Rattus norvegicus: one gene and its partner. The protein of the gene in region 2 purifies or fractionates together with the protein of the main gene of each other region. This does not show direct contact. Links are inferred from orthologs where the notes say so. Each region holds a gene or a part of one and is shown on either strand. Other genes may lie near its edges. The genes, in order: Actr3b and Arpc2.

What was found.
Region 1: the proteins of Arpc2 (region 2) and Actr3b purify together in Homo sapiens (affinity purification with mass spectrometry; 6 studies listed by BioGRID and IntAct, counting the BioPlex papers as one, with this or other methods). This does not show direct contact. The link is inferred for Rattus norvegicus from reciprocal best matches to the Homo sapiens genes ARPC2 and ACTR3B.

What each region holds. Positions count from the first base shown.
Region 1 is NC_086022.1:10,037,122-10,040,939, forward strand, and holds part of Actr3b (actin-related protein 3B), read right to left. Parts: intron 2,945-3,818; coding exon 2,820-2,944; intron 1,416-2,819; coding exon 1,305-1,415; intron 1-1,304. UniProt on the Homo sapiens protein: Plays a role in the organization of the actin cytoskeleton.
Region 2 is NC_086027.1:83,279,767-83,283,584, reverse strand, and holds part of Arpc2 (actin-related protein 2/3 complex subunit 2), read right to left. Parts: intron 2,283-3,818; coding exon 2,170-2,282; intron 1-2,169. UniProt on the Homo sapiens protein: Actin-binding component of the Arp2/3 complex, a multiprotein complex that mediates actin polymerization upon stimulation by nucleation-promoting factor (NPF).

The DNA of each region.
Region 1 (3,818 bases), on a different chromosome or scaffold from region 2:
AGTGATAAGCTAGAGCGCCAAGCCCAGCAGGCGGAGTCTGAGACAAAGTAACTCACACACTCTCAATTTCCTGGCTTCCTTTATTCAGTGTAACCACTGTGTGAGTGCAGGAGAGGAAATACAGAGGCCTGTGACACACAAGCTACACCTGACAGTCTGAGTGTGAAAACACACCTAAGAGACAGGTCAGAGCACACTCAAAGACTTGCCTTGATAGACATTAAACATGTAGATTCCATAACTATTGGCCTTGTAGTTACCACCTTCTAAACCAGACAACTCTAAAGAGTGTGTGTAGGAAATAATTATAACTGAATTTGAAACCATTTAACAATATACTTGCATAGAGAAATCCAAAGCTTATTCATGTGAGTTTAATATGCAGCTTATGTTGTATAGAGTTGCTGTTTATGAAGTAAGCATTTTATACCTTGGACTACTTTTTTTTTCTTTTTTTTTTTTCTTTTTTTTTTCTTTTTTTTTTTCTTTTTTTTTTTTCGGAGCTGGGGACCGAACCCAGGGCCACTGAGCTAAATCCCCAACCCCTACCTTGGACTACTTTTAATGTAAAAAGGCTACTCCACAGAAGGAAACATTGTTGAATAGAACAATCAGATCTCATAGATGCCGAGAGGTGCTTCTCCTTATTTCTCTATGCTGATTTGTTTCACAGGACACTTAAGTGTCATAAGCAGAGTCCATGGCTCAGATCAGCTCCCTCTTACAGTAGGATCTAAACACTGCAAAGTGACATCCTCTGCTATGACAGAATAACACTCACTTACTTCTCCAGGACACAGAGGACACAAGAGCTTCCCACCCAAGCCTCCCTCTCTGGACCCTGTGCTGGAGGTTACAGTAGCCACCCCTCCTCTCAGTCTAAGAGACCCACTGACAACTCAAGAACTGGGCAAAACCACCAGGAAGGTTCCTCAGAATGGCTGCTAAGCTTCAGGAAGTTTCCTTCACTACTGAGCAGACATACACGAAGACTCTGAAGTAGCAACACAGAGAATTGGACAGCTGTCCTGAGGCACCAGAGAGCCACAAGAAGATGCCATACTAAAAGACCAGTCTGTCTCCAAGCTGTTGAACTGAGCGGCCCAAGGCAGCCAGGCTCCGGCCTTCCTGAGCTACAGGGTGCTAAGCCTTTTAGGTCCTTGATATTTTTCTTGCACTTTCTGGTATTTGGCCCTAAAAGCAGCCTGATTCATGCCAAAGTCTTTAGGAGGACTTTATGTTTAAAAAAATCCAAGTACTTTGGAATTCGCAGGAATATATTTCTCTTGGTTCCAACTACTCACCATTAAAAAATAATGGTCCTCAGGTTCGGCACGGAGATACTTAAAGACCACCTGTTCCATGAACCTTTCCATAAGATCCCAGTCTTCAACGATGCCATGTCGTATAGGCCACTGGAGCAAAAAGGACAGAAGCAACAAATTCACCACGCAAGCACAGAGGAGGCCGTGTGGGCCAACAGAACGGAGGCATCCTGTGGGAAGCTCCCGGTGATTCGAATATAAACAGCATGGTTTATAAGGAACTACTTCTCCAGTGCGTTTACGGCAGCTCCTCTTAGTACGTGGAACTACCTGGGCAGCCATGGGCAGACTCATCTACATCCAACGCCCTCTGGTCCTTTTGTGATTACAGAAGAAACACTGGTTTTGCTGGTGAAGAGGTGGAGAAACAGGAACTACTGAGCACTGCTGGTGAACTGTAAACCGACAGAACTATTATAGAAGTCAGTGTGGAGGTTCCTGAAGAGAACTAAACACAGAACTACAGTATAGCCCAGGGAGCCCACGTACGGCATGTAACAACTGAAGGACTCCAAGGCATGAACCTGGAAGACATAGGCATGTCCATGGCAACCGTTGTGTATTCACAGTAGCCAAGAAATGGAACCCAGCCAGATGTCAGTCAACAGGTGGGTGGATTCCTTTTAAGTGTAGTACCGGTACACAATGGCCATTTTAAAAAGTGAAATCATGACAATTGCAAGAAAGTGGATGCAAAGGGAGACTGTTGGGGCAAATAAAATAAGCCAGACTCAGAAAAGCAGGGACTGCATGTTTCATATATGGAACCTAGATTTAACTCTCTCTCTCTCTCTCTCTCTCTCTCTCTCTCTCTCTCTCGTGTGTGTGTGTGTGTGTGTGTGTATGAATGTACGTGTATGTCTGTGTGTTACTGTAATGAGTGAAAGCAAAAGGGTACCATGAGTGGAGAGGAAGTGCTCTTAAGGGAGGCAGGAGAAAAGGAGAATGGTGAAGTTCATGGCTCATGAGGGCAGAGAAGAGGAGTGTTTGGAGGGAACTGCAAAGGTGGACAGGTAGACAAGGGAGTTCATGAGGTCATCAGAGGAAGTAGGGAAGAGTAAGAACAAAGTACAGTGACTTGTGTCTATGAAAATGCCAGGATGCAATCCATGGCTTGGTATGCTAAATTTAAAAAGTAATGTAAATCATGTCTTCAAAATGCCTGCTTTAATATTAGTGCTTCTTCTTAGTCACTCAGTCTGCAAGTTTCCAAATCTGACATGAGTTAGTCAACCTGCACCTTCCCAGAAGGGCAGAGCTTGCTCACCCTGCTGACACCGGTGTGACTCGGTACTCCACTCAGAAATGCACCTCTTCAAAAGCAACGCCCCCGTTCAACTAACCACCTCCTCCTGAGCGTAAGAAAGGGACAGCCCACAACGCACAGGTACAATCTCCAGGCACAGCCAGGCTCTGCGAGGCTTGGCTCTGCGCGGCTTGGCTCTGCTCGGTTTGGCTCTGCTCTTACCCAAGCGCACTGCGGCACAACTTTACCTTGGTAGCGTAGGTAGGTTTATCAATGGCTTCATCCCCTATGAAGAAGTCAAGGTCATCAACTCCTCTCAACACCCTCCTCTGGGCTTGGTCAACTACCTTTGCCGACTCTCGGATGGCAATACCTGAAGGGAGAGAGATGTTTTTCTTTCACAAAGACGCCAGCAGTCTCCATGCGCTACCTGAAGTTTCAGGAAATGGACGTGATCTGTATGTCCAAACAAGTGAATGGTGACTGCTTAGGTTGTATCTGGGGTTGGGATGCTCACAGGAGACGTGGCGAGCACATGACGTAACAGAGAAACAAATAGCTCTCTTCTAGTATCATCTCAGTGGGATGCGAGGGAACTGCTTTTAATGTCGGCACAGAAGCAATGTTATTAATCAGCCTCATCTGGAGGACCCCATAAGCAAGCAGGGGATGTTATGGGCCTTATACCCACCTCGGGTTGGGGTGGTTGTAAAATAGGGTGGAGGGCAAAGTTCTATACAACATAGAAGACGAAGGGAAAAATAATGTGCATGTGTTAAGTCATTTTAATGAAATGACATCTTAGTTCTTAGATATAGAGCTTATTTATAAAGAGGGGGAAACTGTGCATTCCAATTAAAACGAAGCTATTGGGTTATAGGCCGGCATCTGTTGCAAAAAGAGAAATATAATTATTCAAACAACAATATCACAGATCTTAGCAGTACATATTAGTGATAATAATCATATAAACTTCACTCCAGAATTTAATGAACTATGAAACAAAGATTCTGTTGCATTGACACCCCTAACCCCTGATCATACTCTTCCCCATCCTCAGGTCTCTGCGGGAATCATCCCCTCCTGGAAACGTTCCCTGACTACCTAGCAGGTGAGGGCACGTTCTCAATGTCACTGGCCCTTCCTACTCCCACCAATACATTCTACAAAAAGAACGCCAACCAGTCTACCACGGGGACTGGAGACACCTCCGAGTCACAAATACATGTCTTCTACTACATCTCCAC
Region 2 (3,818 bases):
TTCTCCTAAAAGTCTGGGGTATAACAGGAACATTGGCATGCCCCCTCTGAATATAATCCTACACAATTGATACTGAAGAAAGGGAGTATCAAACACAGGGAAGCCAAAGCTCCTCCAGTCTTACCAAGTGAATATTGTGAAATTTATAAAGTATTTAGAGCCACATTTGTAATTCTTTTTATTCCTTTGTTCTTTAAAATATCTTTTATTAAATATCTGTTTATGGTACATATACGTTGATCCCATTAAAGATGGTTGTGAGCCACCATGTGGTTGCTGGGAATTGAACTCAGAACCTCTGGAAGATCAGACAGGGAGTGCTCTTAACTGCTGAGCCATCTGTCCAGCCCTAAATACTTAATTTTTTATTTATGATTATTATCATGTGTGTGGCTGCTGGTGCCAAGTGTGGAGGTCAGAAGACAACTTCTAGAAGTCAAGTTTTCTCCTTCCATCATGATTCTGGAGGCTGAAGTCAGGCCACCAGCTTTGCATGTCGAGTGCTTTCACCCACTGAGCCATTGAGGCCTTCTCTGTTTCTGCATCATAACCATTGTACACTTCTCTGCTATTTTCCCAAGACCAGTCTCACTGTATAACCCACAGTGGCCTGGAGCTCATGATCCCCCTGCAAACCCTGCCCGCCCGCCCCTCCCCCCCCCCACTGGGCTCACGCTGTCTCCACAGCAGCACACTGTTCACTCACACTTCCAACCTTGACTCACCTTTACATCTGTGCCTCTTTTTAATAGTTGGGAGAAGAGGAAGTCAGCCTACCTACTTATAACTATTAAACCTGCCTACGGAGCAGCAGAGCGTTCTGCTTTTAAAAAGGGCCTGTGAAACAGTAACAAGCTTCCTGTGGTTATCACAGGCTGGTCACTGTTTAACCAACCTAGGGAGTCACTTACTCCACTCCCACACTGGGAATGTCGCTCCTTCCCCCACTTGGGCTCTTTGGCCTATGTGGGAGCTATGAAAACTGCAATGTGTTCCAGAGTTCCACTAGCAGACCAAGCACAGGATGGAATGAGTCTTTACAAATCCAAACCAGGTTGGGTCGCAAGCTGCAACAGACCAGCTTGCCTTCTGATAAAACTACCTCAAATTCCCTCCAGTTACTTCTCTCCCTTCAGCAAATCAAAAGCACCTGAACAAAAAAGGGCTCAGCTCCCTACAGATCTTAGAACTCTAAGTCTGATTTTAGAGCAAGACTTTACAAGCTCTAGATCACATTCCTTAGTACACAGCCTTTCAGAAATCTGAAGTTGTTCAAAAGCTACCACTCTCAGAGAGAGAAATGGCTGCTTCTTCATGGAGCAGATTAAGAGAGCCTAGTTCGTTAAAACTGATTCAGGAACTGAGTCATACTTCCTGCTTTGAGACCCAACCACAATGTGCACACACTGGTGTAAAGCATTTTCTTTCTTCCATAAATGGCTCACCCCAGAGCAACTGCAGTTCAACAGGAACCACACCTCCTCCTTTGGCTATCCAAAGCCAAGGCACAAGGCACCAGGCCGCACTTCCCTATGGTATAGTTATAAGGATAGGTGGAAAGGTCAGTTCGAAAGAAAAGTCACTTAAAAAGGTTGACAAAACAGTTATTTATGCTTCACTTTCAGAATGAAAACCAAGACTATGAAGTTTAATGCAGCACAAATTCCAAGCCACCTTGATAAGATTCTAAATATGGGACAGAACCTGTCTCACTGTTGCCATAACTATTTTTGTACAGTTAAGGAAATATTGTTATTTCTGGAGGACTAGCTGTTTTGTTTTCATTCTTTTGTAAAATCTGTCTAACCTAAATGATTTGAGAAGAATAAATTCCGAGCTGGGTGTGGTGGTACATGCCTATAATTCTAGCACTTGGAAGATGACGGCAATCAGGAATTGGAGGCTTTCCATCAAGCCTGCGCTACCTGAGACCTTTATAAAAAAGCTTCTAAACTTTGCTCAGGAAATACTGCTCCAAGATAAAACCAAGCAAGCAAAGAGCCAAAATCTTCTCTGGAAAACACTGTTATGGGGAATGGAATTTGGAACCCCCAGCTAGCTGTATAAAGTGGCCTGTTTGTAAGGTGATGTAGCCCCCCTTGAAGGGCAGGGGGCCAACAAATGGTAAAGTAAACACAAGAGTTCCAAGGAAACCAATGTGGGACTTACCTCATCAGCTCCGTGTGCCTGAAGTTCCTTGTAGAATTTCAAAGAAATACTGACCATCACTTTTGTTTTGTCTCCATTAGGATTTGAAATATGATAAAGGACGCCATCAAAATCTGTGAAAAAAAGCAAGAAAGATTGCTCACTCTGGAAACAGGAGTAATCTCCCAGCACCTACCACAGGGCTGGCCATGAGGAGGCCTCTGATAAGAAAGATGCAAGTAAAATGATGTTTATTTTTAGTTCATGGGAAGCCAACTGAAAAACTGCTATGGAATTGCTCCATGGCCTCCTCTTTGGTCTCCCTTAAAATTACAAAGCTATTTTTAGTGTAACCATAGTTTATACTAAAGTAACAGTAAAAAAACTTCACTGTGACATGTTTCTAAGAGAAAGAAAGCTATAAACAACTCTACTTATGTAGCATTAATGCTGATCAGCACATGGGGCTTTGATCAAAATGTACTCACCCCACCTTAATTTATTACAAAGCAAATTCTAGACATCTAATCCATACATACATCAAGATGTATCTTTGGGAGACATAATATTACAAGAACATAACCATAATCAGTCATGCTCAAATTCAAACAAAAGATTCTACTTTAATATTAAATACCTGGTAAGCTATTCAACTATTACCAACTGTCTCAAAACAACAAAAAAACCTCCACAAACACTGTTGTCTTAAATATATGAGTTAAGGAAGAGATGGCTCAGTAGTTAAGAGCACTGGCTCCTCTTCCTGAGGTCCTGAGTTCTATTCCCAGCAACCACATGGTGGCTCACAACCATCTGTAATGGGATACGATGCCCTCTTCTGGTGTGTCTGAAGACAGCTACAGTGTATTTATATGTAATAAATAAATAAATCTTTATAAAAATATTTGAATTAAAATCTAACAAGATCGGGCTGGAGAGATGGCTCAGTGGTTAAGAGCACTGACTGCTCTTCCAGAGGTCCTGAGTTCAATTCCTAGCAACCACATGGTGGCTCACAACCATCTGTAATAGGATTCAATGCCCTCTTCTGGTGTGTCTGAGGACAGTGTACTCACATACATAAAATAATAAATAAATAAGTATTTTAAAATCTAACAAGATCAAGACAAGACAAATGATTATCTTTGAAGTCGCTTAATCTCTGGGCATCTCTTGAGGCTCCTTCTTCCTGCACTACGAAGTAACCTGGGCACTGCAGCACTACTGAAGCTAGGTGCTGAGGGCCAGAATGCAGAGAACTTGCATGGGAACCACGGCAATCATGCGGACTGGGCACTGATGGCAATGAGGATGCACAGATGGCATCCACCTTAGGAGCTACAAATCTTCTCAGATCGCCTGGTCAAGCACTTGCCTTTCTGGACACTTAGCTGTAAAATCTGAGCTCACATTTGACTAGCCAATTCTTTTTTTTTTTCTTTTGTTTTATGAAACACAGTTTCACCATGTGGCTCTAGCTAGCCTAGAACTCTCCAGGTAAACCAACCTGACCTCAAACTTACAGAGACCCACCTACTCTACCTCCTGGGTCCTGGTACAAATGACTTGTATCCCCATACATGGCCAACAGGGAGTGGAAAGAAACACTGTTTCCCTGATCTGACAAACAAGCTACACCATCATCCACCTTGCCTCCCCCAAATGCTAGG